3 linked regions of the Nothobranchius furzeri genome follow. The protein of the gene in region 3 interacts with the protein of the main gene of each other region in a pairwise test. Links are inferred from orthologs where the notes say so. Each region holds a gene or a part of one and is shown on either strand. Other genes may lie near its edges. The genes, in order: retreg3, dtx2 and abhd16a.

Region 1 (7,682 bases), about 67 Mb from region 3:
AAGGCAAGTTCTTTTGCAACAACAGCATCATCAAACTGGAAGACAAAAAAAGAGTAACATATTTTTAATTTCCTGTGTTAGACAAAAGTAAAAAATCTTTACGCTTCTTTTCTATTTCCCTCTACCATAAGAAATGCTTTCGGTTTTATGTCCTCCCTGTTTGCTCTCACAGACTTCAGCATAAACAAAAAAGCAGTGGCAAGCCAACCACAACAGGAAAAGTGCTTGATGTGCTACTGTAACCAGAGGTGTGCTAAAGGACAAACCAAGAGATGTAGAGGAAACGCTTGGTATTAGATCAATGCTGCGCTTTAGGTTGTGCTAAATACTGAATAAACTGAAAGGGTAACAGACGTATTATTGCTGTTTCTATTGTAGTTGAGATGCTTCTGTTCACAAATCAGAAAAACTCAACTTGAATATAAAGGTTTAAGGAACTTACAGTTGGGCAGAAAGCAGCCAACTCCTCCTCACTGTCGCTGGCTTCACCCGAGGCTGCACTGCGGATCGGCATTCGCAGGACTGGAAAGTTTAGATGAAGCAGATAAATAACTCATTATTGCCCTTAGGCCCTTATAACATGTTCCAAAACCAAACTAACAATACACACAAAGCTCTGCGGAGTTGCACTGAATTTATAGAACAACAAACAATAATAAAAAGCAGCTTTTCTCATCACATCCTATCAGATTTTGAATTATGAACAACTAAATCATCCTTTTAAGACTCTGGACTGCTGTTGCATTCAGTTTCTATATGAAATAAACCCAGAAAAAAAACAGAAGTAAAACTAATGTGACTCTAGCAATTAAACAACAAAGTGCCTCAGACAAAATGGCAACAGGAAAGTTCTTCTAGCAAAACAACATATCTGTTTAATAAAACTGAACATCTTTTTACGGCCACCGGAGGGCGCTAAAGAACCAGCCATTACAACAGAACAGCCTGCCAACTATCAGTAAATGAAAAAAAAACTTCTTGCTGAAATGTTAAAAGTGAGAAACGACGAGTTTCTGCTAAAATCTAACGGATCTGATTGGTATTATAAAATGAATAACAGGGCTAAACATGTTTCTGTGACTTACATTGGTTGTCGATGGGCTTTGACATCATGTATCCACGAACGCTGAAGTCCAGCCTCTGCAGGGCTGGCTCCAGCTTCGCACACACACCCTGGAAAACCCTGTGATAGGCACCCAGAGGGGCCAGGAGGGTGGCTAGCACTGGAGTCAAAAGGAAAAGAGCACAAATGATGCAAAAAAAGAGAAAATTATGTTTAGCAAACCAAATATGTGTTTTATACGGTGTATGTGCGTACTTGTTCATATTACACCTGTATATTGTCTATCTAGCCTCACGTTTTCATTCTGCTCTCCTTGAACAAAACCTATATGAACATAACCCCTCCTAAACGCACACTCGACACACCACATTTTCTGGTATTGCACTAGATGCTAGACTGTATTTGTCTCCTTGTTTAAAGCTAAATCTAATCTAATGTAAGCATGGACACAGGACTATTAGGCTTGGATTGGTGCCCCATGCTGAGCTCGGAGGTCTACACTGGCTGAAGGTTAGGAGATTAGTCCACTCTACGCCTGACCTCCTTAGCTTTAAGCCCGACTCCCTGCTCTCCTTCTCTCCCTTCTTGTGTGTCTCATCCCGGCTTTAATCACCACATGGAGCAGAGCCCGGTACCAAGGCCCAGCAGATCTGGTTTCAACACCCATGCATTTTTAAACACACTAGTCGGGCTGAGTTTCCCTGCCAACACAGCCTTCTGTAGTTAGGACCAGCTAAACTGCTGGGACTCACAGGCAGAGTAGGAGAGCACCAATCCAGGGACGTAGTTTCCAATCAGAGCCAAGCAGGAGAACACGCCACAGGTCATGATGCAGAACTGTCACAGAACAAGACACGTGTGGGCAAAGGTCAGAACAAACCAAGAGTGCCAACAGTAGAGTGTTTGTTCAGAGCTTAGGGAATCTTGATGGATTAATAATTTGTAGAGTCATGATGAACGGGTTAATCCAAATAAGGGTGTGAGTAATCTGTAGGTAAAATGGTTTATAGTATGCAGTGCTCACATTGCCAGGGTTTTGACGTTTGTATTCCATCATATCGGATCTGAAAACCGATGCACTGACCCAGGCCTCTGCAAGGTGGTGGCACAGCTCAGGCACGCTGAGGACACCGGGCTGTACCAGACCCCAGCTGCACAAACAGATACGATTCCTTCAGATTGCCTGTTGTGTTATACGGTGATGTCAGAGTAACGGCTGATTTTAGACGACGTTCACTGACCTCTCATTTTCTGATTCATCCAGCTTTCTGACTGTGGAGAGAGGACAACCGCTTTCAAAACCTGCCTCAAGCATTAGGACTTAATATAAACCAACAAGAGTGCAGAAAGTAACCAATAGCACGTGTTAGTTTGATTATTGTTAATGTAGAAAGTCTGAGTTTTATCAAATCTATTCGTGAAATAGTGTTTCTCAAAGTTGTGGGAGGAAATATATAATCTTAAAAAGGAAGAGCCCCTATTGAAATAAAGTGCAGCACCTCTGATCTCTGGCCAGATCCTATTCCTCCAGGTATCAACAACTACAAGCACAGCGAGGCCAGACGCCAGCAGGAACAGCAGGCGCAGTGACGTTAGGGCAAAAAACCTAGAGGGAAATAAAACATACAAACAGATATTTCATCTCTGGACTGTTCCCTTTGGATTCAACAAAGAATTATGGACACAACTCTACAGAATACACCAAACAGCAAAAAAAAAAAAAAAAAAAAAAAAAAACCTTCTGTTCTAGAATAAAGAAAGAGGTTTTCACCCAGTCAGATATTTTACATCTTCTCCTGACGGGAAAGGTGACAGTTCAGATCAGCTTTGATCGATAAGGATCTTTTCTAATCTGATGAAAATGCTACAGTTGATACGTGTAATCTGTATTAAGAAGCGCTGTCAGAAGTCCCATTATTTTGCCACTGCTCCTGTTTGAGATCACAAGACTTTAGAAATGTCTGGACCACAATAACGCTGCAGAATTCTGCCAATCTTGGGAGATTATCCTCACCAAGAGGACATCAGCAGGTCACAAGGTATTAGCATTTAGGTTAGTGGTGGTAACAGTAACAAATGTAAACAAAATGTGCAAATTCTCTTGTTGAGCCCTAGCTTAAGATCTGAAGCAACGCAACTCTTAATCTACTAAAAAAAAACAATCCCACAGCAAAAATGGGAAAACAAGATTATCTGTGGTGACTAATTGGTTAGAGTTAGGCTATTAGGGTTATTGTGGATAAACCATGACCCAACATTATGTTTCTGCAGGAACAGTTAAATTCGATGATTCGATAATTAGGACCACCACGTTATCTACCACCAGTGCAGAATTAACTCGACAGGTGAAGCTCTTGGATCGTGTAAAAGCACCAGCTGATTGCTGGCATGATCTCCAGTCAAACTCAGTACTGACAGATTTGCAAGAAAACAAGAAAACCCACCAGAACACTACGTTGATAACAATGTAGAGCAGAATGCTATGAAGAGGTCTTTCCCACACCAGGACGGACTGTAGATAGGTGAGATGGGGCTCGTTTGGGCCCAGCTTGGAAAGAAGAATGGCTCTGACAGCCCGAACCCGACCATCTCTCTCACTGGAGCTTGACCGAGTTCGCAGACAGACCCCGGACCCCTGCTTGGCAGATCCATCCTCCATGGATCCCGCTTCTGTTGCTCCAGTGTGCGCCATCTTAGCGTCAACTGTTCATGGAATCAACCTGTAAAGTAACGATAAAAGCGAAGAGGAAACAGGTAAACAGATTAAGAGGGTTACCACAGCGGTCACAACACCTTTGCTAACGGATGGACTAACAGCGAGACACGCCAGCTGAAATACTGTCTCACTGTCCACAACTATACGTCTTGATACATTAAAAATAAGCATGTTAACTAAAGCTATAGTTAGAACATTTAAGAACAAGCTGACACTTACTATACTGTCATTTTTAACCAGAAATGTAGCGCTCCGTACTCTTCAAAACCTGTAAATATGGCGTATCCTGTTTTTCCGACTGCTGAACGGTCCAATCGGAATTGGCCTAACCTGCTGCGTCATGGTGCGTTTAAGGACACCACGGCTTGTTTTTGTGCCTTTCATAAAAACAGCAGTTGTTATTCCAGAAAATGATTTTTCAATTAAACTACATATGTAAACTCATTCCATTTCAACACTTTATTCAAATAAAAGCGAAATCTGTTTCTGAAATATATAATGTTCTGCGTTTTGGATTGGCAAAGTTGTTTAGTTTGAAAACACTGTGGCCCACTATCTTCTTCCAGCACAACAGATGGCAGCAACCAAATTAACTTGCAGAGGCAAATTAGAAGCGTCAGTTCAGTGGGTCTGCTCCATTTATATTGGCAGACTTCACAGCGACACTCCTTCGATGAGTATTCGTGGTTGTTTATACGGCTCATGCTTCGGTAATACGTAAAGGAGTGGACATAGTAACAAGCGGGAAGGAGCGGGCTAGGAGTGGTTTAGCGGTGGGAACTATACATTTAGCCGTGTATTTAGCTAGTAAACAGGCTAGCTAAATAGGGAGCAAATAAAGAGCGATCATGCCGCGGGAAATTATAACTCTTCAGCTGGGACAATGTGGAAATCAAAGTAAGTTACGGTTAAATGTTTCCAACCTTCTACTCAAACGGAAGCGATTCTGTTAAAACAGGCTAGCAAACATCCAGTGTTATTGTAACCTAGCATAATAATGGCGAATTCTTATTGATGGTAACGAGTTAACGTTAGCTAGCAGTGTCAGTCAGTCAGCAAATGTCTCTGTGTTTGTGTGTTTCCCGTTGTCTTTTAACTCAGCATGTTCACGTTTCCACCTCTGTTTTGCAGTTGGATTCGAGTTTTGGAAGCAGCTGTGTGCAGAACATGGCATCAGCCCGGAGGGCATTGTGGAGGAGTTCGCCACTGAAGGGACTGATAGAAAAGACGTGTTTTTTTATCAGGTAGTTGGAGCATACATTTTTATATTTTATCATCTGTTGATGTGAAATTATAGAATTAGTTAACCCCCTGACGAATGTCAACACGAGGATACGCTTCCTTAAAACGTTTAAACCAAGACAACTTCTTACAAAGTCCTCTCAGCCAAGAAGACACATTGTACATGGTGGTTTCTAATAGGGCTGCAAGATGTTTGGAAAACCAGCGATAATGCTGATTAATATTGCAATTGCAACATGACTTGTAATAAATATCTACTTAACTCAAGAACAAAAAAAATTAAAAATGACTAGATAGATATCATAAAATTGGGAAAAGCAAAAATTGTGATCAAAAGATGTGAGGAAAGGGAAAAGAGTGAACAAGAAAAGGCAATCATGGGAAAAGCAGAATTGGCAGAAAGAGTAGAAGGAAGCTAATTCAGGTTATTCACCATTCAACTGCTTCTCCCCCACCACCAACTCCCCTCAGCACCACACTCCCCCCCTCTTTTGCATCTGACCAGGTGAGGAGAGAACTGAGGCAACTTAAGAACAGAAAAGCAGCAGATCCTGACGGGATCAGCCTGCTCAAAGACTGTGCTGACCAGCTTTGTGAAGTGGTCACACACATGCTCAACCTGAGCCTTCAGTTGGAGCAGGTCTCCATCCTGTGGAAGAATTCCTGTGTGGTTCCAGTTCCCAAAACATCACATCCTCGAACTAGACTATTACAGACCAGTCTCCTTGACCTCCCATTTATGAAGACTAGAGAGACTCATCCTCACCCATCTACGTTCAGTGGAGAGCCTGGAAATAGAGCCACTGCATTTAGCATATAAACCAAACATTGAGGTGGAGGACGCACTCATCTACCTGCAGCATCAGGCTTTGACTCACCTTGAGATGCAAAAATGCACTGAGAGAATCATGTTCTTTGACTACTTAATTGCCTTCAAAACCATCCAACCACGTCTACTGCAGCAGAAGATGAGGGGTACAGGAGTGGACGAACATCTGATTGTATGGACATCAACTACGTCACCAACAGACCACAGTACGTGAGGCTGCACAACTGTACATCTGAGGTGGTTGTGTGCAGTACTGGAGCTCCACAGGGTACAGTGCTCTCTCCCTTTCTATTCACCTACTACACCTCGGACTTCACCTACAACCCCAGCAGCTGTCACCTCCAGAGGTTCTCTGATGACTCGGCCATTGTCAGCTGTGTGTCTGAGGGGAATCAGGAGTACAGGTCAGTCATCATGGACTTTGTTGACCGATGTGAACATAATCACCTTTGCTTGAACACCAGTAAGACAAAGGAAATGGTGGTTGACTTCCAGAGAAACACTCCTCCTCGCTCACCAGTAAAGTTCCAGGCAGCAGACATTCACCTCAACAGCAAACTGAACTGGTCCAACAACACAGATGCTCCTTATAAGAATGGCCAAAGCTGCCTCCGCCTCCTGAGGAGGCTGAGGTCCTTCAGAATTAATCCCCAGCTGCTAAAATCCTTCTATCACTCTGTGGTTGGATCTGTTAAACACTCTGCTGTGGTCTGTTGGGGTGCAGGCAGCTCTGACCGAGACAGGAAGAGACTGAGCAAGCTAGTTTACAAAGCTAGCTCAGTTCTGAGCTGCCCACTGGATTCAGTTGAGGAGATGTGTGAAAGGAGGATGCTGGGGAAGATGACCACCATCTTAAAAAAAAAACTCCCACCCACTGCATTCCACTGTGGAGACCATGGTCAGCTCCTTCAGAGGCAGATTGAGACATCCCAGATGTAAAACAGAACGCTACCGTAGGTCATTCATCCCCTCTGCAGTGAGAGTGGATAACTCCTCAGTCTAAGCTGTACTGGCATTATCCTGTTACACAATAACACCAATGCAATACTCAGTATGTGTTCAATACTTGTGCAATTTTACATAGTTTATTACATAGATATACATAGTACGTCTGTGTCCCTTACAGTATGCTGCAAAGTTCTGGAACCCACGTTTTTTTTTTTTGTTTTTTTATTTGGGGTTTTCAAGTCAAACTTTATTTATAAGGCACATTTCATACAGTTGATGCAGCTCAGAGTGCCTTACAGATTAAAATGACCCTTTTGTGCAGCCCTAGTTTCTCATATATGAACGGATCATCTTATAGTTAGAAAACGTGAACATTTACTTTATAAATAGCAGTTTATGAAGTAAAAAAAAAAGAAAGAACTCATTGTATATCCAATATATCTCATTCTGCTACGAAGTTTGTGGCTCCTAATTTCCTTTTTTGTCTTTGTTCCGTGGCACAGAAATGGATTTGAGAGGAAAGTCTTTGTTTGTTTTTGATATCGGATGCAGCTGAAGGGGGCATAAAAAAGGGAAAATCTTAAATATCTTTCCACACATATTTTTATTCATCTAAGTAAATATTTTTCTGTAACAAAACATTGGTCACAGTGAGGCTGTGTCAACCATTAATCCCTCCAGTTTAAAATGACTGATCAGAGTGTGGATTATGTTCTTTTTCCTCTTCTGTTGCTTCATCACGGCTTGCACACACTTCACATCAGCTTAGAGAAATCCAAGAATGAAATTTAGAAATAAAGCAAGGAAAGTGTGATTCTATATAGTGATTGTTGCGAGGTGCACCACTGTTATTTGCCACCAGATGGCGTCTTTGTAACCTGGGA
Region 2 (7,801 bases), on a different chromosome or scaffold from region 3:
GCTCCGCCCTCTCGGTCTGCTAGACAACAGCATTTGTTGCATTATTTAAACAGGAAGTGGGAGTGGAGTAAAACTCTGGTAGGGGTGGGGGGTGACTTGCTCTTTAAGTTATTTTCCCACACATATTATGATCTTCAAAACAAATTTCATGGATATTTGAGACTAAATGTTTATCAAATGAGAATAAAACTATAGAAATGATGAAAATCAGAAGCTAAGTATTTGTTGTGCATAAAGAGTCTTAAATAAGAACACGTCTGAGTGGGGTTGACCCGTTCTGACCCATGCCTGCTCCTAAACACACGGATGAAGAACACCAACTACCAGGGAGGAAACACAGTGACCCGTTTACCTGCCAGGGCAGAACTCACGCTGGTCGACCCATTCAACTGCACGGAGATGGAAGGAACGCTGCAGGTCAGGAAACACAGATGGTGACATTCAGTCAGTGAAAACAGCAACAATCAAACAGGCAGGAAGCAAAGAACAAAGGCTGGAAACTGGCTCGGACTTCTGCTCGCGTCACGCGGACAGAAACACGGCTCGTCTGGTTTGATGGGAGGATGGAGAAGGTGTCTTCAGACCGGTTCTAAGACTAGTTATTCATGTCTGGGGGATCAACTGCACCCCGGCTTCAACCGGATGTGCAGCGGCCGATCAGCTGATGGAGAAAAACGAGTTTTAGGGGAAAAGCAAGCAGTTGCTGTCGGTGATCGAAACCCGTCAAACTCAGAATAACAAATCTATCGCTGCTATTTTCTTCCTAAATGAGCGTGAGGATCGACTCCCAGAGCCGTTAACTAATGAAACCACGAAATTAGGAGTTATAGGAAAAAAAACTCACTGTGTGGCTGTTCTACCCACTCTGACCGGTGAGAAAGTCACCTATTTAGAGAGCAAGTCACCCCCAAATCAACTGTTTTTTCTGATAAACTATATAAATGTGTGTCTAATCGTGCTGCAGACACGTGTGGTTAACAGTTTAGCACTTTAGTGCATTTTAGTTAAAATTTGAATATTCTGCCTAAAACTGTCAGCGTCGTGCCGTTGTCAGGTAAAAACTCTGCACTGCATTTGAATTTAAATCTGCCTTCGCTATTGGCTAAGAGGTACCCTATGACATTAGCTGGTACATTATGATGTCACAATGTTGTTGTGAGCCTGTGTATGTGTGTGTTTGTTAGCAGCTCTTGGGTCTGCTAGGCAACAGCATTTGTTGCATTTTTCAAACAGGAAGTGGGAGTTGAGTAATTCTCTGGTAGGGGGTGACTTGCTCTTTAAGATGCTGTATAAAGCATACACACCCTTCTAGATTATTTTTTATTTGCCACACTTACATGTTTCAGATTAAAGCTGGGCAATAAATAAAACATTTGTTGTTATCAAAATGTCTGACTGATCGATCATTTTTCCCATGTCAATAAATGTGATGAAAAACATTTTTTAAAGACGTGTGGACGTTGGCAACGTTCATGTCCCTTTAAGACGCTGCACCAGCTCGAGTCTCATAAAAATGTGGCTCAACCTAATACACGTGACAGCCCCGCCTAGTGGACAACTTTTGTTTCTGCACATACCCGTAGTTATTATCCATTCATCGTTATCGAGGTGAAATCCTCAATATATGGTGATATTGCTTTTAGGCCGCATCGCCCCCGCTCTACTTCAGATTCAGTACTGGACAAAGAAAACCTGAGATGATGATTGGCACAGCTTTCATCTACGCTAGACGCATCGGCAGATTTAAAGCCAGGCGCATTCCCGGGCAGCGCCGTGCTGCTGCTGCAGAGTTCAGACATTTTGAGCATCAGCTGATGTTATTGACATTTTAGCATGAAAATAAGGTGGAAAACGTCCAGATTGTTCAGAAAAAACAACCCTGACCCTCACCTTCACCACCCAGTTACCCAAAAATTTATATTTAGCATAATTTTTATTTATGAAATTACTCTGTGCAGCATAATTTTAATCTGTTTCAACTAAGGTTAGGGAACTCAAATGTTGAAGTGAATTTTTTCATCCAGCAGACCTGGTGGGATCAGGACTCAGATGGGTCCAAAAGCAACTACTTTCTCACATTTTTTGCAAGATTTGACAATTTTTCTCCTTCATAAATGAAATAATTATTTAAAAACAGCATTTTTTTTATCTACTCTGGTTATGTTGGTGTTATGCTGATTTGTTTACTGATCAGAAATATTTTAAAAACAGAAAGTCGGCAAATCCGGCGTGACGAAGCTTTTTGGGTTTTACAAAACTATTACTTCACAGATCATCAAAAAGTTAATGCAAGAATAAGCAGACATCTACTATAATTAGTACAAAAACGCGTCGTGCAAGGGTGGAACATTAAACATGAATAACATTCAAAAATGTAGAAAATTAGAATTAACTCAGGATTATTAACATTAGGGATGCAAGAAAATATCGATATGGCAATATATCGTGATATTTTTTTCCAGCAATATTATATCGATATTCAAAAGCCGTGTATCGGAAATATCGATATGACAATATATCGTGATTTTTTCCCCTGTAAATATTACATTGAAATTCAAAAGCCGTGTATCTAATTCTTGAAAGAATTTACATGCAAACATTTGTGTATTTTCTTTTCGTTTTGTGCAATTCAATCGCCACCCGCTAGTTGGCAGCAGTGTGCAACGGGTTTTGTTTCCACCATTGAAATGTAAATCCCTCCATCATGGTTCAGATACCTCATGTTAAACATGTTATATATCAGTTTGGACTGTTTATTGAACATTCTTACAATAAATTCTGTAAAAAAAAAAATTGCTTGTAACGTCTGACTGAATGTATCGCAATATATCGTGATATATCGTATCGTCTCCCCTGTATGGTGATCGTATCGTATCGCCAGAATTTCAAAAATACACATCCCTGATTAATATGCAGTGTGGAGGAAACTGAGACCCCAGGACTGAGAGTGAGCTACATATCCATTGCACCGCTTAAGCTAGTCGTTTGACTTTGGGAGCTGCTCTCTGTGCCATTAGGAATGAGAAGAAGGAAGATCAGATGACAAAGATGGAAATGAGGGGAAGTGAGCCAAAACAAACACACCACTGATGTGTTAGAGCTCCGGACCTCCTGTTTGACAGGATGGGTCAGTGAGGAGACAGACAGGAAGGACAGAGAGGGCGGGGGGGCTGGAGGACATCCTTCAGTCCCCCGCTGTGGTTTAATGTGTCACACTCACCTTAAACCATTAACGCTGGTGGAGCTGCCCAGGTGTGGCGCAGGTATGTGACTAGCAGAGGCAAGTGGGGGCCAGGGGCTGCCCCAGGACATCCCCCCCACAGAGAGGGGTCTCCTGGGATACGGCGAGTAAACAGAAGTCGGGTGAGCGGCAGCGACCCACCCCATCCCCTGGAGGCTGGGTCGGTTCAGACTCCCCGAGGAAAAGGAATGGCGTGAGCGGCTGGGAATGGGTCCGGTGCTGCTGTGGCTCAAACACTGCTGGCAGGAGCAGGCAGGGGCTGAGGGGATGGCAGGGGGGCCGGAGGAGGCCAACGGGTAGGGGAGGTTGCACTGTCGCCGCACCTGGCGCCTGAAGCCTGTGGATTTGTTCACCTGGGCCAGAGAGGTGAGATCCACTATGTAATTGTACCCATGCGGGCCCAGGTCGGCCGTGCCCTGGCGGGCCTGGTAGCTGTGCTCTAGAAGGATGGAGGTCCGGGTCTCGTACGGAGTCCAACCTCCTTCATCGTTGACCCATTCCCAGTAGACACCGCTGCCGAGGCCTGAAGACTGGGCGAACAGGGAGCGCCGCACTGACCGGGTCGTCCCTGGAAAGTAAACAACAAACCCTTTAGTGTGTATTTGTGAGTAAAGCATCTTAAACCAACATTACCTGGTCAAGACCCAAGACTGGCACCTTCATCAACAGTAACTGTTCTTTTCATGTATTTCCCACATTATTCACCCATTTTATACTTCAACGTTTGTACTCGAAGATGACTTTACATCTATTTTCATATTTTTAATGTTTTTAAGCCCCTTTCTTGTGTGGTTTTTGTATAAAACACACGTTTCAAAGCCATGTCAGGTAAAAGTCCTGAGTTATTCAACATCCTCCCACATGACGCTCTAACAGCTCAGTCATTTAACTAAGTATTTGCACGGTTTAATCATTCAAACCAACATGATTAAGCTGTCCAGCTCTAGGACGAGTAATGAGAACGATCCTGATGTTTTCACTGAGAATGAAGCCCAGAAACATGACTCGTATTTCCTCCAGCTGATGTAAAGCGAAACCAGCTAGGCCGGTCACTGTGACGATACGAGGAAACGCGTTTATTATTGCGGTTATTAAAGGAAGAGGTCGTGCTCACCTGTGTCCTGCCGGAACTGCTTCAGGCTCGGTATGTCAATGAGGTAGGGCGACAGACTGGGGTCTGACTGTCCGAGGCAGATGCTCGTCGAGCCGGCTCCTCCGCCTCCTCTGGGCCCGCGCCGGGACACACAACGCTCGATGTAGGCGCTGACTTGGCCGCTGTAAGGCCGCCAATAGCCCTGGTCGTCCTGCCATTCCCACACCGCTATCATGGGCTGGGATGGTCCAACGGAACCGGACGGCAAAACCGGCAGCGAGGGCCCGTTTCTGGAGCCGTTCACCCGGGCGCAGGAACCAGACACAATCGCCATGTTATTCGCTAACAACACAACTGGTTAGCTGATTGTGGCTACGACGAAGACGCAGCGACTAGCTAGCTAGGCTCGTTAAAAACTCCATTCCGAAAGTGTGCACGCGCCTACAAGGAAGTTCCGAGGCGAGGCTCGAACCCAACACGACCGAGACAAACATTCGGGTTCATGTTGACAAAGCTGTTGCGTTCAGAAAGACCAAAGGCGGCCGAGTGGTGACAACATCACCATGGAGCCTTCCAGTCTGGACCGCTGCCTTCAAGGCCCGTCGGGAATAGCAGTACTCAGCAGACGTGCCTCGGAAACGCTGGTCTATGGGAAACAGCTTCCTCATTCACCCGATCTCCTTTTACACATTAATTCATTTATTCCAGCAGATTGTGATTTTTCTGCACCAGCTGGATGAAAATTTCGTGAAAATTAATTTCGTTAAAGATTAATAACTTTATTTTAACCTTTAAAGCAAACTCAAGCAAAACATTTAAAGCAAACTAGTAAACTTGTGCATCTTTGAAAATCCAGCCCAAGTTAGATCAAATATATATTTTAATGTTAGCATTTTTGCTTTACTATTTAATTAATTGACGCTTTATTCATACTAGTAAACTTTGAATGATTTGTAAAAACAGAGGCATTTGAATGCAACACAGAAGTTGAAACAAAAGCAAAACAAGCGCCCCCTAGTGACTGGATCCAATACGTTTTTAAAGGGAGATTGGGCAGTTTAGGCTTGCTTTTAGCACCCCCTAGTGTCCGTTTGTAGAAAGAAAGCAAAACCAATCTGTGCGTTTGTCTTTTCAACACCTCAAGCCTAATTTATACTTCAGCTCTGCGATGGAGAGACATACTCGCATTGACAGAGACATTTTGCTTTCAAATTTCTCCATCAGCTAGGGAGTGTTGCAAAACAATTTCCCGCCAAGATAACCGAGAGCGTAGTGCTATTCTGAGGGATCCTGCTACCATTACAGTCACGTAGCCGGTCCACGATGGTATTGTGTTTACATTGTTTTAATGTATTCCAGAGACTTTTTGACACGGACAGATTTGTCCCTCATTGATCTTCACCTCTTTATGCGATCAGTACCTCTAAACCCACGTTTATCATCTTTTCTGTCCACGAATAAAACGCTTGCTGCATATCTTTGCTCTCCTTCAGTCACAGGTGAATAAAAGTTCATATTTTCAGACTTTCTTCGATGCGTTTTTCAACCTGTTCTGTTTTTGCCGCTATCTTTTGACCTTTTGAAGAGGCAAAGACGGTGCTGTTGACCAATAAAAACAAGAAGCAGCCTCCTGACCAATCACAAGCTTGCGCTCTCCGTCTCTTTCAATGGACAGTTAAAATTTGGGGCGTGTCTCCATCAGCCTCTGCAAGCCTGTCAAAGCGCTCCTGCATCGACTCATAGTGGCGTGTCTATCCTGGCTGACACAGACAAAAAAGTATGAATTGCTTAAATCTAACAGCTGAAACGTATCCCCTTCATTACTGTCTACATGGCTTATTAATCACTAAATTAAATTAAACAAATCAGCTGTGTTCATGATCTAAAACATGCAGGAAACGTGCTGGAGCCAGACTGCAGCACCATATAAGCAGACCTGATCAGCAACTGCGAAGCTGCAAGTGGAATATTCTGTCTCCAGAGTGTGAAAAGGGCTGGGTGGCATTTCATTAACCCTGTAAATGGTTTTTCTAGCACACACTGGCTCAAGAAAATGATTTAAAAATATGAAAAGTTGCAAAGTGTCTCCATAAAAAGAAAAAAACCTCAGAGTTGTTGCTGTTTGAATGCTGTTTCCTTAGTTACCAAGGTGCCTTTGAAGTTAGGCTCCGCCCACTTGGTTGCTATGGCTACCATACCTATGACGTTGGTCTCATCCAATTAAGAATTTAACGTTGAATATCTTTAAAAACATTTTAAAATGTCCAACAAAAATCCTAGCCTGCTTTCCCTAAACGAGCTAAACACCGTGTGACCCCATTTGCGTTAATTGCTGAAAAACTGTAAGAGATGTATACGATGAAAAACGTACAGAAGGATCCTAAAATCATAATAAAAATAATGATATTCATAATAATACTAACATGTCGGATTAAATAAAGTTGAATCAGATTAAATAAAACCTTCAACATCTGCAAGCTAATGGAGGAAGAAACATGATTTAGTAAAAACAAAATAATAACCCTAAATATTCATATATATATATATATATATATATATATATATATATATATATATGTATGTATGTATGTATATATATGTATGTGTATATATATATATATATATATATATATATATATATATATATATGTATATGTATGTATGTATGTATGTATATGTATGTATACGGTATATAATATACCAATATACTTTTATCTGTTTCTAATAGTTTTATCTCTTTAAAAGGATTAGTTCTTTCCTTAAAAACAAGCTGCAATTAAATCTAGAGATGTATTGTGCTCTCTGGTGGAGGATCTCGATACTGCAGGTTGTATTTTTATTTGTTTTTATGACATAATCGCATAAATAAATGTGAAATTATGTTGTAATGACATGATGCAATCAATTATTCCGTTTTTAAATATACAATTCTCCATCCATCCATCTATCCATCCATTGTCTGAACCCGCTTTGTGCCTATCTCCAGCGGTCAATGGGCAATCAGGCGGGGTACACCCTGGACAGAGAGCCAGTCCATCGCAGATATACATTTCTCATAAATAATTAATTTATTTAAGTCCATACATTAGTAACTTTAGATCCAACCCAGCAAGAGACAAATGAACAAAAACCTGAATTTAAAATCCGTCTTGGAGAAAAATATCAAAGTGGGACACTACGTCCCAAACCTCAACTCAGGAAAACAAACACATGAGACATAAAATGAGCAAGCTGGGAGAAAATTAGACCTAAAATGTGTAAATACACAAAATAGCCTCATTTTGTCTACAAGTATCTCCTCAAACAGGCAACAAAACAAGCAGAAGTGGAGAAAAAACATCAGAAGATCCATTAAAAAACTGCACATAAATGGTTTGTTGTGTTCTCTTTTGTTTGGGTGTTCTGCTGCTCTGTCTCAGCTCAGTGGAACATTGATTCATATCCTGTTCAGAAAGCTTAAAAGCCTT
Region 3 (7,078 bases):
GTCTTCTAGAGTCCTGGAAGATAAGCTCCTCCTAGCTGTTCCGAATGCACGTTTAAAAAGCCGTGGAGAAAGGGCTTTCTCTGTCTGTGCACCGAAGCTGTGGAACGCGTTACCACTGCTAGTGAGGCTAGCACCAACAGCTAGCATGTTTAAATCACGCCTGAAAACTCACTACTTCAACCTAGCTTATACAACATAATTATGAACCTCACTTACATCTGCACTGTTTAAAAATGGAATTCACAATATCAACTTCCGTATTATTAAGGTTTTTTAAAATGTTCTTCTAATTTTTCATTCTCCCTGTGTTTTATTGATTTTTAGCTGTTAGTTTTGGGAATTTTGTTGTATTTCCTTTTTATCTTTTATCCGTGTTCGACATGATTGTATAACGCCGGTTTAATTAACTTACATTTTTAGTGTACAGCGCCTTGTTTGGTTGTAATGCCTTGTGAATGCGCTTTATAAATAAAATTGGATTGGACCCCCCTCCCCCCCCCAAGGCACTTTACAACAGTCATTCACAGCTGCCCTGTGTACGGCAGCAGAGGCGAGTCTGCTGTACACAGGCACCACCGCTCCCTCCGACCACCACCAGCAGGCACGGTGGGTAAGTGTCTTGCCCAAGGACATAGCGACAGACTGAGCGGAGCTCAAACCTGCAACCTCCCAATTACAGGGCGAGCACCTAACTTCTGTGCCACCGTCGCCCCATTATGACTTACTGCTGATGAAAGTCTCACAAGGGCTCCTGGGCCTTTAGATGGTCTCTCAGTTGAATTACTGACATAATGGACTTTTTCACCGTATTTAAATTTTTTGACTTTCACCGTTAAATACTGCAATGCTATGTGTCATGATGTTGAATCAACGTTTAAAAGTGGTTTATCAGTTTTTACAGTATTCCTGTTGCGTGGTGCAATTCAAACTCCGACTGCTAGGTGGCAGCAGTTTTTACCGCCTTCATTGTGACGGAAAAACAAGATCTTGCGATAACACTGGATGTGTCTTGAAAGCGTCTGGCCTGAGTTTTCCAATTAATTCAGTCTTAACTCATTCACTTTTTTGCATTTTTTTTACTGTGTGAGCGTCGGACAAGCCCCCACGCCGTCCGTGAGAACAAACATCTCAGCTTTAAAGCCGATCTTCATCCGCGTACGTCACACGTCACGTGATCAGGAAGCAGAACATCCATGTGTTAGGAGATCGTTTTGGGCCGCTGCTGTAAAAAAAAGTGAAGCGCGAACCGGAAAAGCTTCTGCCGATCACAATTCAACAACGGATTATGAAAGAAGGGATAAGGCTCGAAACGCGCGGATTCTTCCTGATGTAAGAGGTGAGTCTCCGCTTTGTTTTGGTCATTTTGGCGTCAACATCATCCTAGCGCGCAGCGTTCTGTGACTCTTAAAAAAACTGTAAAAACGGTGAGAAACGCTGGCAGCGAATGAGTTAAAAACGACAAATATCGACTTTTAGTATCGCGATATACATCCGATCACCAAAATCTTGCCAATACACACTCATATTTTAAATAAAATATTATTATATATTTAGAATATTGGTAAATATTAGTTATCAGCCACAACAATATTAATATTGGATATCGATATCGGCCCATATTTCCATACAAGTGCATCCCTAAATGTTGGTGTTTTAAACTACATTAAAGAAATAATACTCAAGCACTATCAGAACTATAAAGTACAACAAGTAAGCATTTTCAGTTATTTCAAAAACCCCATTTTCCTTTCTGCAGCTAGAAGTAACCACGACTGGACAGAAGGGTGGAGGTGGATGGTCCTTGAAAACTTCCAAAGGACTTTTATTAAAAAAATGCAACAACTCAGATCTGAAAAGTCATAATTAGTGTGGAAATTTCACAAGATTTCAGAAGCTAAAATTTGTTCTTTTATCTAATTAACCCAAACAAAGTAAGCTAGGGCGCTGCCGAGCGTTTCATGTTGTGTGGTGGGGACCTACGTTGTGGTGATGATCTCATCTTTGGTCCTTCTGATCAACAGGACTGGTCCCTGGTATCTGAAACATGTAGCTTTATTAGTCATCAGTCAACATGAGCAAGAAACAGTTTCACTTTTGTTTACCAATAACTTATCAAGCTCCACCCTACACTCACTTGATGAGCTGCTCGGCGTTGTTAAGGTTCATGTACTGCCTCACCGTGTGTTGAACCAGCGGTTCTGAGAAAAAATAAACACTGAAACAATATTTTCTGCTGAAGGAGTCTGAAACCGGTAGCTCGTGGCACTCACTCCAACTTTCAGGCATAACTTTGAGAGCCAGAGGGAGGAGGTCATCAAAGGAGGCGTCCAATACTATAGCTTGGATCTCTGGGTATGACATCACCGCCCAACTGGCTAAGAAACAACAAAAAAAAAGGAGATTAGTTACCGGGACATTTTGAGATAAACTGCAAAAAAATAGTTTTTCTAAGAAAGTTAAAAAATCTTCATTTTTAGATATTTTGTGGTGTTTTCTCCAGAAAATAGCATAACCTAAAATAAGGTTAATATTCTTGAATATGATCCACATTTTCTTGTTTTAAGTTAAAAATCTGCCAACGAGGTAAGCAGCTCGGCTAGAAACCTCACAAATAGCAAAATAATCTAATTCTAGGTTTGTTTCAGGATTTCTAGCCAAGCAGCTTTTGCTTACCCCACTGGCGGATTTTTTTTTTTACTCAAAACAAGGAAATCTGGATCATACTTCAGAATATTTACCTTACTGTTTTTCTAGAGAATAATTTATTTTCTTTTTAGATAAAAAAAAAGATAAAATGTCTAAAAATGATACTTTTTAAAAACTTTCTAAAACCATCTAGAATGTTTTCAAGCTAGTTCATATGTTTGAACGTTAACGTTTGCTCTGTCTGCACCTGTGAATCCTCCTATGGACCAGGCATAGATCACAATGTCGCTCAGCTGGAAACCAAGTTTGTGAATGGCGAACTGGACGACCACATCCATGGCGTTCGCCTCGTTCTGGGGAAACGGCACTCCCTGGTGGAAACGTACAGCGAACAGAAATAAATCCCAGAACTGAAACACGTTGAACTTTGAAGCCATTAAAACATAAACAGCCTTCCTGCTGATACTAACCAGCTACGGGAGTGCATCTGGTTCTAGTGTGATACTCAAACCAGTTTCTCCACTCCTCCGCTTGTTTGAGCTAAATGATGCACAGCCTACATACAATGGAGCCTGCTGTTGCTTACCGTGCTGCCTCCAAAGCCAGGGTGGTTCCAGCCCAGAACGGAGTACCCACCTAAAGTAAACGATCAGCGTTAACTTGTTTAGCAACATTTTAGACTAAAACATTATTCTGCACTTTTAAATGTCAGTATTTCTCACCCTCCAGAGGCGTGTTCATGCAGCCCACCTCATAAAATCCGGCGTTGCCCTCACAGCAGATGACCTGTGGAAGAATTCAAGAACCATCTGTAAGGTGACGGGAGTTTTGTTGGACCCTGGAACCAGCCCTGAGCGCAAAGGCAACAAATCACTGCTGACATTTACCAGAGTCTGGCCGTTCGGGCCCCCGTCTCTCCTTCGATCCACAAACATTGTGTCGATCTCGTTCCCGTCGCAGGCCACCAGCTTGTTCCTTTGACCGTCAAACTGTGACAGAAAATGATCAAATACGACACGCAGCATCTCTGAGGAAGATTATTTCTTCTCTTACCTCCTCTATCAACTTAGCCTGGCCTTGCTGCAGCATCGGTCTCATGGCTTTCTGTAGCAACCCCACAGAACCAGGATACAACATCCTCCTCCCAAAAGAGTGAGCAATGAGGTAGCTGCAGAGGAAAACTGTTAATGATGCTGTGGTAGAACCGCTGGGAGAAATGAAATAAGAAACATACATGCTAGTATAACCGTGCACTTACCCAACGATGTGGCACGGTAAAGTGCGAACAGAGTAAAGAACGTTGTCTGCTGTTCCTCTCAGTTTGGGCTCGGGCTTCAGCAGAGAAACGCCACCTTTGGACATTTTCCTTCAGAGGTGAACGACGGACCCATTATACACACACTAAATACACCCAAACCTATTCACTACACTTCTACAACAACTGAAGTAATGCAAGCTAAATGACATGACTACAATTTAGTATAGCTGCATTGAATAAGAGGCCATTTTAAACAATAACATCAAGTGTGAATAATTAAAGTCAGACAAGCTTTCAAGTGTAATTTAAAAAGCATAAAGAGTTCATTATGTCTGGAGTTCAGGAGGTAAGGTGAAACGGGACTGAATGCTCTACCTCCAGTGGAAGTAGGGGTGGGGATAAGGAACAGTGATGTGGATGAATGAGGATGACCTGAGAGTGTGTGGGAAGTTATATCGGTGTGGATAAGGTCAGACGGGGAGGAAGGAGCCGGGTTATGGATGGCCTTAAAGCTGAGGAGCAGTAAATAAAGGGAAGCCAATGAAGTTTGTGAAAGACGGGAGTAAAATAGTGAGCCGAAGGTGTTCTGTTGTGAAACTGGTGGCAGAGATCTGAATCAGGTGAAGTCTATGTAATGACTTGAGAGGGAAACCAAAAGGAGATTTCCAATAGTTAATGTGAGGCGTGACCAGGTGTGTCAGCAGAAATGGGTGGAGAAGACGTAGATTACGCAGTAGGGCTGGGGGTAAACGCTTATTCTTAAAACGATTATTCTGATGATTATTTTATCGAATAGTCGATTATTCTAATGACTATTTAGACAATTAATCTAATGATTAAATTTCTATTGCACAGTTAATAAAAACCAAAAAATCTCAAATAAATTCCTCCAAAAAATTGATAAATTGTTACTGTAAGAGAATAAACACTACAGCCTTCCATTTTGTATAACACTGCTTTTATTGGTTATGTTCTGGTGAGGTCCTACCTCAAGTGGAGGAGTTTAAGTATCTCGGGGTCTTGTTCACGAGTGAGGGTAGGAGGGATCGGGAGATCGACAGGCGGATTGGTTCGGCGTCTGCAGTGATGCGGACGCTGAGCCGATCTGTCGTGGGGAAGAGGGAGCTGAGCCAGAAAGCCAGGCTCTCGATTTACCGGTCGATCTACGTCCCAATCCTCACCTATGGTCATGAGCTTTGGGTAATGACCGAAAGAACGAGATCGCGGATACAAGCGGCCGAAATGAGTTTCCTCCGTAGGGTGGCCGGGCTCAGCCTTAGAGATAGGGTGAGGAGCTCGGACATTCGGGAGGGACTCGGAGTAGAACCGCTGCTCCTCCGGATCGAAAGGAGCCAGTTGAGGTGGTTTGGGCATCTGGTCAGGATGCCTCCTGGACGCCTCCCCGGGGAGGTGTTTCGGGCATGTCCTGCCGGCAGAAGGCCCCCGGGTCGACCCAGGACACGTTGGAGAGGTTACATCTCCAATCTGGTCCGGGAACGCCTTGGGGTCCTGCCGGAGGAGCTGGTGGACAAGGCCGGGGAGAGGACGGCCTGGAGCTCCCTAATTGGGATGCTGCCCACGCGACCCGGACCCGGATAAGCGGAGGAAGACGAAGACGAAGACGAAGATGTTCTGGTGACGTGTAGAATGTGGGAGAGCAGGCTGCTGCCTGAGAGGTGGTTGGAGACGGACTGTCTCCATGCTGCTTTGTTTGCGTGAGGCGAGTGGTGTTACGACCCTTCCTGGGGAGTTTGGCTCGTGTGCAAAAAGGAAGGGACAATAACGGGATTTAAAAGTTAAAATGATGATCAGGTTTATTTACAACAACAAAACAAATCTTTCCATCCACAGGTTGGGAATAATGAAACAAATTCTGCCTGTGGGGGATTAAAACAAAAGTACAAATAAGTAGGGATGTCCCACTGGGCAAATATTACAGGGTTCTGGACCAAAATAAGAATATCCAAAGGTCCAAACTCTAAACTGGGTGGTTAAACCAAACTCAAGGTGATATTTTAAACTAAACCGAAAACCCACAACACTCTAAATGGAATAAAAGGGAGATCTGCACCACAAAAACGATGAACTCTAAACCAAAACGTAACAGCTTATCCAAACGCAAGAAGCTGTTAGCGAAGATGCTAACAGTAGCTGTACCAACGTTAAGTTCAAGTTACCAAGTTTAAATAAACCAAAAACACCCAGCAGCAAACAGACCAGCACAGAGGAGAGACTGCTACCACCAAGACCGCTCTCCTAATGTCTGAAAGAAGCTCCTTAATGAAGGGAGAAGCGCTCCCGGTGATTTTCTACATCTGTGGTAGAGACGAAGCAGCGCATCTGACCCCGGAAGTTGTTGTCCATTGCCGGGAGACGAAGGTGGGCAAAACAGGAAAGGAATCTAGTAGCAGACGGGCGTTGTTCTGGGTCTTCGGTATTTGGTGGAGATGGGATGTTAGTGAAGGTGGAGAAGAGGATGAACTAGAGGAAAAACAGGCAGATTCCTCCTCTATTTACAAACTCCTGGGGATGCAACAAGTGGGCGCGGTGCGTCGACTTCCAGATCTGACGTCGACAAATTTTTAGAATCGAGTCGTCAACGTCATCGAGGCTTCGCTACAGCCCTATTACGCAGGTGAAAGTAGACAAACCAGATGACCGTTCTGTTCAGCTTGTATAGAAATGAAGTAATGACACCAGGACATTTAACCCAAGGGGAGGGATCCATAGTGCAGGTTTTAACGTTGTTAGCTTTGGAAAGAGCTGATTTTGTACCAATGAGGAGAACGACTGTGTAGAGGTCTCATACAGACAGCCAGAGAGGGATGGAGGTGGAAGGTAGAGTTGGAGGTCATCAGCATAGCGGTAAGGGTGTAACAGAATACCTAAAGTACTTTGTTTTTAATGTCAAGGTTCGTTTAAGTTTCGGTGCATTAAGTGAGCAAAGTGAAGAAAAAGGTTTTCCTTTGTGAGAAGTAAAGATTTAATGACATCTAAAAAAAAACTTAACATGCATTACAATATCCAACAAAAGATTCTCAGATAACATAAAAATGTTTAGGATAAAATAAAAAATACATAACAGTTCAGTTTCACAACTATTACTTCCAGTCTTCCAGGTCAACAAAGAACCAGGTGTCTGGTACCTACACCAGTCTACATGGACCGAGTGGG

What was found.
Region 1: the proteins of abhd16a (region 3) and retreg3 interact in binary tests that used the Homo sapiens proteins (3 or more experiments, as listed by UniProt). The link is inferred for Nothobranchius furzeri from reciprocal best matches to the Homo sapiens genes ABHD16A and RETREG3.
Region 2: the proteins of abhd16a (region 3) and dtx2 interact in binary tests that used the Homo sapiens proteins (3 or more experiments, as listed by UniProt). The two-hybrid records come from large-scale screens. The link is inferred for Nothobranchius furzeri from reciprocal best matches to the Homo sapiens genes ABHD16A and DTX2.

Annotation. Positions count from the first base shown.
Region 1 is NC_091745.1:7,573,952-7,581,633, reverse strand, and holds the start of retreg3 (reticulophagy regulator 3), read right to left. Parts: upstream 4,114-7,682; 5' UTR 3,999-4,113; intron 3,784-3,998; 5' UTR 3,756-3,783; coding exon 3,508-3,755; intron 2,670-3,507; coding exon 2,563-2,669; intron 2,336-2,562; coding exon 2,305-2,335; intron 2,215-2,304; coding exon 2,088-2,214; intron 1,901-2,087; coding exon 1,816-1,900; intron 1,224-1,815; coding exon 1,086-1,223; intron 523-1,085; coding exon 443-522; intron 36-442; coding exon 1-35. Other genes in the region: tubg1 (tubulin gamma-1 chain), read left to right, coding at 4,628-4,676, 4,911-5,023. UniProt on the Homo sapiens protein: Endoplasmic reticulum (ER)-anchored autophagy regulator which exists in an inactive state under basal conditions but is activated following cellular stress.
Region 2 is NC_091750.1:69,047,080-69,054,880, reverse strand, and holds the start of dtx2 (probable E3 ubiquitin-protein ligase DTX2), read right to left. Parts: upstream 4,892-7,801; 5' UTR 4,669-4,891; coding exon 4,356-4,668; intron 3,810-4,355; coding exon 3,221-3,809; intron 412-3,220; coding exon 353-411; intron 1-352. UniProt on the Homo sapiens protein: Regulator of Notch signaling, a signaling pathway involved in cell-cell communications that regulates a broad spectrum of cell-fate determinations.
Region 3 is NC_091745.1:74,541,742-74,548,819, forward strand, and holds part of abhd16a (phosphatidylserine lipase ABHD16A), read right to left. Parts: intron 4,013-7,078; coding exon 3,905-4,012; intron 3,815-3,904; coding exon 3,700-3,814; intron 3,636-3,699; coding exon 3,534-3,635; intron 3,433-3,533; coding exon 3,369-3,432; intron 3,283-3,368; coding exon 3,233-3,282; intron 3,018-3,232; coding exon 2,894-3,017; intron 2,376-2,893; coding exon 2,271-2,375; intron 2,199-2,270; coding exon 2,135-2,198; intron 2,038-2,134; coding exon 1,981-2,037; intron 1-1,980. UniProt on the Homo sapiens protein: Phosphatidylserine (PS) lipase that mediates the hydrolysis of phosphatidylserine to generate lysophosphatidylserine (LPS). LPS constitutes a class of signaling lipids that regulates immunological and neurological processes.